Danio rerio: one gene and its partner. The protein of the gene in region 1 interacts with the protein of each later gene in a biochemical or structural test. Links are inferred from orthologs where the notes say so. Each region holds a gene or a part of one and is shown in the gene's direction. Other genes may lie near its edges.

Evidence for each region. The genes of interacting proteins can lie anywhere in the genome.
Region 2: of the proteins of dnmt1 (region 1) and setd7, one has a biochemical effect on the other in vitro, tested with the Homo sapiens proteins (2 studies listed by BioGRID and IntAct, with this or other methods). The link is inferred for Danio rerio from reciprocal best matches to the Homo sapiens genes DNMT1 and SETD7.

The regions. Positions count from the first base shown.
Region 1 is NC_133178.1:57,142,059-57,148,441, reverse strand, and holds part of dnmt1 (DNA (cytosine-5)-methyltransferase 1), read left to right. Parts: intron 1-2; coding exon 3-95; intron 96-181; coding exon 182-333; intron 334-416; coding exon 417-604; intron 605-992; coding exon of another isoform or gene 993-1,007; intron 1,008-1,410; coding exon 1,411-1,591; intron 1,592-1,665; coding exon 1,666-1,763; intron 1,764-3,470; coding exon 3,471-3,621; intron 3,622-3,996; coding exon 3,997-4,112; intron 4,113-4,210; coding exon 4,211-4,409; intron 4,410-4,486; coding exon 4,487-4,620; intron 4,621-4,695; coding exon 4,696-4,875; intron 4,876-4,951; coding exon 4,952-5,176; intron 5,177-5,283; coding exon 5,284-5,476; intron 5,477-5,574; coding exon 5,575-5,665; intron 5,666-5,841; coding exon 5,842-5,973; intron 5,974-6,383. UniProt on the Homo sapiens protein: Methylates CpG residues. Preferentially methylates hemimethylated DNA. Associates with DNA replication sites in S phase maintaining the methylation pattern in the newly synthesized strand, that is essential for epigenetic inheritance.
Region 2 is NC_133189.1:50,835,559-50,839,510, reverse strand, and holds the start of setd7 (histone-lysine N-methyltransferase SETD7), read left to right. Parts: upstream 1-1,152; 5' UTR 1,153-1,255; coding exon of another isoform or gene 1,256-1,295; intron 1,296-3,458; coding exon of another isoform or gene 3,459-3,588; intron 3,589-3,952. UniProt on the Homo sapiens protein: Histone methyltransferase that specifically monomethylates 'Lys-4' of histone H3. H3 'Lys-4' methylation represents a specific tag for epigenetic transcriptional activation.

The DNA.
Region 1 (6,383 bases):
AGGTGGGGTTCCTGCCAAAAAGCTTGGTCCCATCAATGCTTGGTGGATCACTGGTTTTGATGGTGGGGAGAAGGCTTTGATTGGCTTCACTACAGGTATGTTTCAAAGCAAAGTTGACTCTTATCCTTGTCCAGTTTTATTATGCATGGCCATTTAACTAGTTTCATTTTCTTTTCGACAGCGTTTGCTGACTATATCCTAATGGACCCCAGTGAGGAGTACTCTGCTATTTTTGCTCTGATGCAGGAGAAGATCTACATGAGCAAAATTGTGGTTGAATTTCTTCAGAAAAACCAGGATGCCACATATGAGGACCTGCTGAACAAAATAGAGGTACACTTTATGGGAGCATTGAAGTTCTTTGCCACTTGTCCCATTTTAGAAGTTGTGGGATAACCTGTTATTTGTCTTTTTAGACTACTGTCCCGCCCGCGGGGCTCAACTTCAACCGTTTCACAGAAGACACACTCTTGCGCCATGCCCAGTTTGTGGTAGAGCAGGTCGAGAGCTACGATGAGGCTGGAGACTCTGATGAACAACCCATTATAATCACTCCATGTATGCGTGACTTGATCAAGCTGGCTGGTGTTACTTTGGGCAAGAGGTGAGTTTACTAGAATTGGTGGTCTCTTAAATGCCTTCAATGAGATAACTGGGTAATGGTGGGTTCGATATACTGGTACCCAGAAAGCAGACCTCAAACTGTTCTCTTAGCAACTGAAACCAATTTGTTATTTTATCCTGCATGAGGCATGGGCTTCAATATTGTGGACCATCAGGGAGGGCTATCGGTGTTTCTCATAGGACATATAATGTATTCATGTAGCTTAAACCAATTTGTGAATGCGGGAGCTGCTATTTTGGTACTAGATAACAGGTTTGCACAATTTATTTTTTTGCAAGTCTGAAAATTCAGTGACTTAAGATTTTGAGGTTTAGTTGTGGTACCATGTTATTTGTTTCTAATGGTCCTTTAACTTTCTCTAATGCAGCAGGCAGCTGTACTGGTATGTAAATCCTGATGTTTCTGCAGAGTGTGTGGCTTGGTTATTTATATTTCCATATGCTGAACTGCAGTCGCCTGTGTTGGTGGTAAACTGCTTCATTAGCTGAAATGGGTGGGTGAGGAGAACAAAAACATGAGAACTTGTTTATTTATTTTTTTTAAACCTTCCTGACTTGCATGATCTGCATAACAGATGTTAATTTGGCACCCTGTTGTTTAAGTTGTCCATTTGGGAAATCTGAACATCTTTTTTCAGTTTAAATGGGTTTAGTTACTTCAGAGCTGTTTGTCTTAACTCAATCCATTGTGTCTTGTGCATTAAACGCATGGCTCTTTTTTGCTTTTATTTGTGCCCTCTGTATCTTGTTTGCTCTGCTCATGTTTTTTTTTTTTCCCCTGTTCAGGAGAGCAGCCAGAAGACAAGCCGTCCGCCATCCCACTAAGATTGAAAAGGACAACAAGGGCCCGACTAAAGCCACCACCACTAAACTGGTCTACCTGATCTTTGACACATTCTTCTCTGATCAGATTGACCAGAACAATAAGGATGGAGGTGTGAAGAGACAACGGTGTGGTGTCTGTGAGGTTGGTTGTCTGAAAATAGCAGGCACAGTTTAACTGAAATGCAAGCATGATGATTGGCGACCTTGGTATTTCAGGTGTGTCAAGCTCCAGACTGCGGCAAGTGTTCAGCTTGTAAGGATATGATCAAGTTTGGAGGCAGTGGCAGAAGTAAACAAGCCTGTCAGAAGAGGAGGTATGCTTACTGTGCAGTCTTTGCTGTTGCGTAATCATTCTCCTCAGCAGTTTTGTATTTTCCATGTGTTTTAAAGGCCTTTCTTTGCTTTCTCTGTTTTTATATTATAATGATTAACATTTTGAATGAGGCTAAATGTCATTCAACAATTAAGGTTTTTAATAGTTTTTACTATTTATAGTGCCAATTTTGTCTATACTCATGCCATTTTAAATTGGCATTTCATTTACCTAGGCATGTATATTTAATTGATCTCAGATTAAATGTTACAATGATATCTAATTGTCTTAAACAACTTCCTAGTTGTTGACCTTTTAGGCCCCGTTTACACTAGTGCGTTTTAGTATTAAAACATCGTTTTAGAATGAAAACGATCCGCGTCCACACTCGCTTTTTACCCAGCGTTTCTGAACTGCTCTCCGTCCACACCAAAATTCTGAAAACGCACATCACATGACCACACACACACACACACACACACACATTCGGGCCAGCGCTGCAGCCCATCTACCCAGATGAGAGCTGTGCTAGTCGGACTTCTCATCAAGCATCTCCTGCTGGATCTAATCTCACTATATTTATTAAACGTGATATTTCATTCATCTTGTTGTCTTTATCTAACGACATATTCCCTGACTTTGGTCACTAGAATATATTAGCCTACTTGTTCTCAGGTAACGTGTTTTGGCTAAGCGCAAAGATAAGTTAATGATCAATGTAACCACGTAGCCTATTCTGTATTATTGACTGATCGCTTGCCTTTATTTCCTATAATGTATAAAATTATTGTATGTTATATTTTTATAATGGCCATTATCGATTATTAAAACTTATATTCAGCAAAAGAGAGGGTATGTTTCGTATTTTAACTGAAATTGAAAGGAGGCAGTTGTTATCGGCTCCGTTTTGTTATAAATATCCACACAGTGAAGATGACGCTCGCATGCAGCCCGACGCCTCAACATTTCTGCTGTCTGTTAAGTTGCTAATATCAAAATGAAAATAGGCAGTTCCTTAAATCATGTTTACATTTGATTTTATTGTTGAGAAAGTGAAACAACGTAGCCAGGGTGAATGAAGTTATACAGTACACTGTTCTCTTTGAAGATTTACCCGTGTCCTCGGTATAGTCTGTTTTCCATATCAAACTGAGAAGAATAGACTGCAGCCTTGATCAAACTTGCAAAGTCTGAACTTGCAAGGAGAGGATGCAGGACTGAACTGTGTGTGTTAGGCTACTTAATATTGAGGAAAAGCCCCAATCAGAGAAGCGAATGTCTACAGCCCAGCCTCCATTTTCAGATGTCTCCGTTTTTGCTCATCCACACTTAAGACGGAGCACCAGCGTTTCAGAATGAAAACGGCCTCTCCAGCGTTTTCGAAACGCTCTGTTTTCGGCGCTCGAACTCCGGCGTAGTGTGGACAGTTGGCGTAACCGTAGCTAAACTTATGCGTTTTCAAACTAAAACGCATTAGTGTAAACAGGGCCTTAGGCACATCATGAATATATCAACCTTGTGTTGATTGCACAATATTTGGTGACTCCAGGTTTGTTGTTTTGAACTATTAAAGGTCAGAGCACACTTGGTCTCTGAACCAAACAGTAGAATAGCCCTTTTGAGAAGCAGATCCTGTTGGTGATATCGAACTTCATGATTTTGGATTTGTTTGCCAGGTTAAAGCCTAATGTTTGTTTTGTCCATCCAGGTGTCCCAACCTGGCAGTGAAAGAAGCTGAGGATGATGAGAACATGGATGAGGAGGATGTGTTGCCAGTTAAGGATACAAAGAAAATGTCTCAGACCAAGAAGAAGAAACAAACCAAGAACAAAATCAGCTGGGTTGGTGAGCCATTAAAGGTATGCAATCTTTATCTGGCAGCGGACACAATATTTTTTTTTTTTTTTTTTTTTTTTTTTCCAGGACTATGGCCATGTCTACTCAAATGGGTATTTGCAAAACAGTAGATTTTTCTACTTGGTTTGGTCATTGGTCCATAATCCGATGCAGTATTAGGGAAATAAAATCTTAACACTGTAGTCTTCAAATTTTTTAGAAATGGTGTTGTTGTAGCTGGTAAACTCCTTTTTGTTTCATGGCTTTTGCTGTTTTTGCCTTAGTTTGTCAAGTTGTGCTACTAACCCTTTTAGCTTTCATGTGGCTGGAGACTTTTCTCCCCTCCCAAATTTAGAAGACTTTAAATTTTTATTTTTTTTTTGCCGTCATCTTTTCAGACTGAGGGAAAGAAGGAATATTACATGAAAGTGCGTGTGGAAAATGAGGTGTTGGAGGTGGGAGATTGTGTATCTGTAAGCCCTGATGACCCATCACATCCTCTCTACCTGGCCAGGTAAAATTATCAAAGCAATTTCTTTTGTAAAACCAAAAGGTTTAACATGTTTACTAGACTCTCTAATTAGTAAATCATTGGTTTCTTTAAATTTGTAGGATTACAGCTTTGTGGGATGATGGTGAGAAGATGTTTCATGCCCATTGGTTCTGCCGTGGCACTGATACGGTCCTTGGAGAGTCATCAGACCCTCTTGAGCTCTTCCTAGTGGATGAGTGTGAAGACATGCAGCTAAGTTTTATCCATGGCAAGGTCAACGTCTTCTACAAGGCACCATCTGAAAACTGGTATATGGAGGTACATACGCCAAAGTGTGGGCAGTGTTTGTGTTTAACAAACTGGGCAGAGGTTTTAACACTGTTATTGTTTTGAAGGGTGGAATGGATGAAGACATCAAAGTGATTGACGATGATGGTGAAAGCTTCTTTTATCAGCTCCATTATGAAGGTGAATGTGCTCGCTTTGAGACTCCTCCCAAGGTCACACCCTCTGAGGACTGCAAGTATAAGTAAGAGCCCCTTTTGACCTATTTTAATGGGACACCTGTTCTGTATTTGTGCTATAAAATGTTATGTTTCACTAGGTTTTGTGCCAGCTGCACCAGAAACAAAGAACGAGAGGCTGAGTCTGTTCCCCATGCCTATGAGCCCTTAGAGGATGAGGAGAGTGACTCTAAAGTCTTCTATGGGTTGGTGAACTATAAGGGAGAGCAGTACAAAGTAGGGGACAGTGTCTACCTACCACCTGAGGCCTTTAACTTTGTGTAAGCTCTTTATTATTTACTGCCTCAAGGGATTTCTATTTGAGTGGTTTTATTAAATGGACCTCTTGTCTTTTAGAGTAAAGGCTGCAAGCCCGGTGAAGCGTTCCCACAGAAAAGATGACGTTGATGAAGATCTTTACCCTGAATACTACAGGAAGTCCTCTGATTACATTAAAGGCTCAAATCTGGATGCTCCTCAGCCTTTCCGCATTGGGCGCATCAAAGAAATCTTCTGCAACAAGCGCAGCAATGGAAAGCCAGACACCTCAGAGATCAAACTGCGCCTCTATAAATTCTACAGGTAACTCTTTTATTCTCCGGAATGATTCCAACCAGTGCGTCTGATTTTGAGGTTGTACCTTAAGGGAGTTCAATACTATTTTTCTCCCCAAACTTGTTTGCTTTCAGACCTGAAAACACTCACAAGGGACCAAAGGGAGCATATCATTCTGATATAAACCAACTCTACTGGAGTGACGAAGAGGCGACCGTCAGCATGACTGAGGTGCTGACACGCTGTCGTGTTGAGTATGCAGAGGATCTGGTTGAAAGTGTGCAGGACTATTCAAACAAAGGACCCGATCGCTTCTATTTCCTTGAGGTAAGGATAAAATCTGGCTGTAATGGAGCTGCCAATGGTACTCGTAATGCAGCTGAAAATATTTTCTGCCATGACTTACCTAATGGTTCTTTTTGTAGGCATACAATGCCAAAACCAAGAGCTTTGAGGATCCTCCCAATCATGCTAGATCTGCTGTGAATAAGGGCAAAGGGAAAGGAAAGGGCAAAGGTAAGTCAAGTGTAATGTTGAAATAAGTAATGGAAACTTCTAGGTATGCTCTTGTGTTTTTTTTAAGCTAAAAATGGTCCATCGTGGATTCAAGATGGCTTAAATATCTGAACACAATCATAACTGCATGTGGGGAGAAATTGCAGCTTAAATGTTTGTACCATGGTTGTCTGTAGGAAAAGGGAAAGGGAAAGCAGCGCCTCAAGAACCACAGGATCAGGAGCCACAAGAGCCAGTGGTTCCCAAACTGCGCACTCTGGATGTATTCTCTGGCTGTGGTGGTCTGTCTGAGGGCTTCCATCAAGCAGGTTTGGCTTCCATTGAGTCTCTTTATAGAACCATGTTACACAATGTATTATTACTAGGGATGTAACTGTATTGTAAATACCGTCATACCGCAATATTAATTTTTTTTGATATTACCGAAGTCGCACGACTCAGTAAAACTATAGGTCTTCTGAGAAAATTTGCTCAGGCGAATGAAGCGAACGGGAGGTAGCGAAAACTACAATTCCCATCAGCCCATGCTTGACCATCATCCCTTGCGGTCTGTTGTCGCTACAGATCCAGTAATGCGGAAATAGAGTGTGCTGCTAGAAGCGGGGATGAAAAAAGAGCTGGAAAACTCTAAAGCGGGTGTTGTCGCCGCGTGCGTACTTAATAGCGGTGTTGTCGCGCGAGTTCTTATCAGCTGTGTTGTCGCGCGCGTACTGAATAG
Region 2 (3,952 bases), on another chromosome or scaffold:
TCCTGGTCTGCTTCTCTCCTGCTCTGCTCCTCTTCTCCATTGGAGTCTATCTTCTCTGACTCTACTGCAATCTGGCTAACTTCTGGGCCTGCTCTCTTTGTCTCTCCCCCCTGTGTCTCTCCTTTTACCTCTGGTAACTTTAGTTTTACATTTAAGCTGGGTACAATTTATATCATGTGTTTTGTCATTTCATATTTTATCATTTCATACAGTTATTTTGTAATTAATTCAGTTGTAACCATAGAGAACTTATTTCCATTAAATCATCTCATATTCAAGTGTTTGTGAATTACTTTTGATTTAACATCAACATTTAATTGTTCCATATTGCAATACAATACAATCACAAAATGTCAACGCTCTCCCACATTTATAGCTATTAATACTGCCCTTATTTCCTTATTTTGGTATGAGATTGCAGAAGAATGGTTTGACTAGAAATTTAGTTTTTTACCATCATGCTGACAACTTTTTAGTCACTCGGCAGAACTACAGTTCAAACCGCTGTGGTTAAAACCCATTCTTAGCAGTGCTGAATCATGCCAGGAGTGCTACACATATAACAGTAAATGTTAAATTAATTATATTAAAAGAAAGAGAAAAAAATATTTACACATAAAGCTTAAATCCATAATTTTCTTGTCATAAATTCTAAAGCCAATATTAAGTTTTATTTGTTCATTTCCCCTACTAGCTTTGTGACAAATGCAAATAATGCATTGTTTTTGCAATTTACAGCGAAGCAAATTGTCCAAATTAACCTATTTGCGGTGTTAAACTGCAAAAACAGCAACGTTTTAATGTCAAATGTGATTAATCATTCTAGAAACATGCTAACATGTTAGTTAAAACTCGTTGGCAGCGCTCAGTCATGCCAGGAGTACTACACATATTTAAATGTACAATTCATTCTAAAAGAAAGAAGAAGAAATACATTCAAACTTAAACCTAAAATTTGCAATTTTCCGTTCATATATTTTAAAGCCAATATTACGCTTTATTTGTACAATCTCCCTGGATTTCTGACTCAACCAAGCAATGAATCGTTTAGCGATTGACGGCAAAGCGATTTGTCCAAGTGAACCGATTCGCTGAATCGACTCAGAGCACAGCTTCTCTTGCGTAAACAGAAATCAGTGCAGGGCTGATGATGTCAGACATTGTGCGCCGGAGAACTGACAGCTCTGAAGCTTCCGCGACAGGCATAAACATCACGCCGTTATTCCTTTAATACACAACTGAGAAAAGGCTAAACATGGACAGCGATGATGACAACATGGAAGAAGTGGTGGAAGGTACGAGAAGCTTATTCGTAAACCACGCAGTGTGTGTGCGCGCACGCGCGTAAGCTTGTTTTTCTGGGCTGTCAGGCTGAACTTTTATGCAGTCTCATTCCGTCGAGGATTAGCTTACCGACAAGATTTCCTGTGTAAACAAGCTGTCAAACACCCGAGGCCCGTAAACTAGACCCTTTCTTAATCCTCCAGATGACAAACGAGTGTTATTTGGGCTTTTTTACTTAAATACGATTTCTCTGGACTACCATGAACGCAAATACTGTACAGTATTATTAACAGAGACAATAAAGACTAATTAATTGATTTCTATCTAACGTTAAACACATCTAGTTTTATTATGTCTTCGTATACTGTATATAAACGTGTTAATGGGCCTGTAAATGTGCTAGATTTATAATTTGGTGTAACGTTACATTCTAGTGTTGTTGAAGCCACGTGGTTATCAATGTGTAGTGTGGACACTATAGTTGATTAATTCAGACCTGCACATTGCATGGGTGTCAACTGTGTGGACTTATATTATTAAACCTAGGTGTACCAAAGAAAGGTTTTTGCTATATGTGAAATATACAGTACAGTGAAGTGATATTACTATCCTGGGCTGCGTTTCCTAAAAGCGTTGCAAGCCTAAGTTAGTTTTAGCTCTGTTAGTCATGATCAGTGTTGGGTGTAATCCCTTACAGTTAACTAGTTGCTGTAAATAAATTTGTTTATTTGCAAAAAAAAAAAAGTAAAGGGGTTACTTTAAATACTTCTAATATACCTGCTCTAAATACACATAAATAGTCATAATAAATCATTAGTTTTGTATAAATTTATTAAGACCAGCAGAATAATTTTTTGTTCAGATATATTTTGCAGAAAAATAGTTTTTTTTTTTTAAATAAACAAGGTTGCATTTATCAAGACAGCTTTTATCAAGACAAAAACAGTGGCAGAGGTTACATTTGTCTATGAGTTGCATAAAAAAAGTCAATTGCATTATAAATAAATTACAGTTTTGTGTGGTAGTTGAGCAATATCACACTCGTAGCAGTGCGATATGGCTGTATATTGGGACTGGTGGGAGGTGTGGGCTTAGTGTCCCACCAGTGAATATATACAGCTTTATCGCACTTTTACAAGTGTGATATTGCGTTTATACGTTGTTCGATGGCAAAGTAATGTATATAAAAATAAACATCGCACAAAGAGAGTCTTAAAGTCCTTTTGTATGAGGAACTACTTTCTTTTGCTGTTTACACATCTGCAGCTGACGTCAGAACAGCAGATACTGTTGCTACTTCACAAACGTCACTTTAGAGCTAGTTTTTGATTGATTCTCTTGTATAATGTTTAAAGTGATGACAAAATTTGTGATTTTGCTCACATTTTGAGATTATAAGGCTGAACAACATGAAATGCCATCAGTCTACAGAGATTTCCCAGTATTTCTGTTGCATTTACAATAATTAACCTCAAAAAAGCCAAAGCAAAGCAAACACTACCAGACTATGATATAATTACAGCACTAACTTTACAACATACAAGAGCGAGATCGACTTAGAAAGTCACTTACCTGTTTTATGATGATTTGATCAGATGTAGATTGAAATTACGCTGAGTTTTTCTCCTTTAAGGGCTTATTATGTGGTCTGTGTCGCCACCTTGTGGCGGATCGTCAGCCGTCTTTGCTCTGCTCAGTATGACAGGCCAATGGATGCTGATGTGCTTTATCTCCAAAATTATAAATATTTAAAATAGGCTCTATCCTTATAAATAAACTGCATAGTTGCAGTTTAAACAACTACATTCTCCACTAAAAAGCCTCAAAAGTACGTTATGTTGTCCAACAGCAGCAATATTTGTCAAACTGTAGTCCTCTGCTTGTCGCTTGTGTGGGCGGAGTAATACACAACGGTGAAGACGCGGTATGAGTGCTTATGTTACTTTAATGTCTCATGGCTATCAGCCAATCAGATTCGAGAACCAGACAGAACTGTTGTATAAACTTTAATATTATGTTAGTAATTAGAATAGTACTTAGTACTTTAATTTTGTTTTTTGAAGCAATTTCGCTGGTTATGATGCTTTTGGGAAACGCAGCCTTGGTCCATTAAAATTATCGTTGAGTTATATGGAGTACATTGGTTATTTATCTTTGATGTCATGACTTTTTAGGACCACTGGATGAGGATGACCAGCCTCATGGTTTCTGCACTGTGACCTACTCCTCCAGTGACAGATTTGAAGGACATTTTGTTCATGGCGAGAAGAATGGAAAAGGAAAATTCTTCTTTTTTGATGGCAGGTTTGAGACTTGTGGTGCATGTTGGTACCATAGCTGAGTCTATTATTGTTTTAATCATGGAATAATTGTCACTAGCGTTGATTAGACCCACATATCCATTATTTCTATTATGATAACCGTCAATATTATACGACTTTAGGTTTGATCTTGGTGGTCTAGATCTGCTGTGGACATTTGTGAAAGCTTACTACTGAAATGTGCTGAACTTTTTGGGATTAAAAAAAATGTCATGAACATGTGGTGCTAGGGAGGGAGGAGGGCTAAACCCCCACATCTAAAAGGCTGACTGAATGGCAAAGAATGATTGATTGTGTTTTCAAGCTTCAAGTATCAAGTAGCTACTCTGAAACTTTGCCTGTTTCTG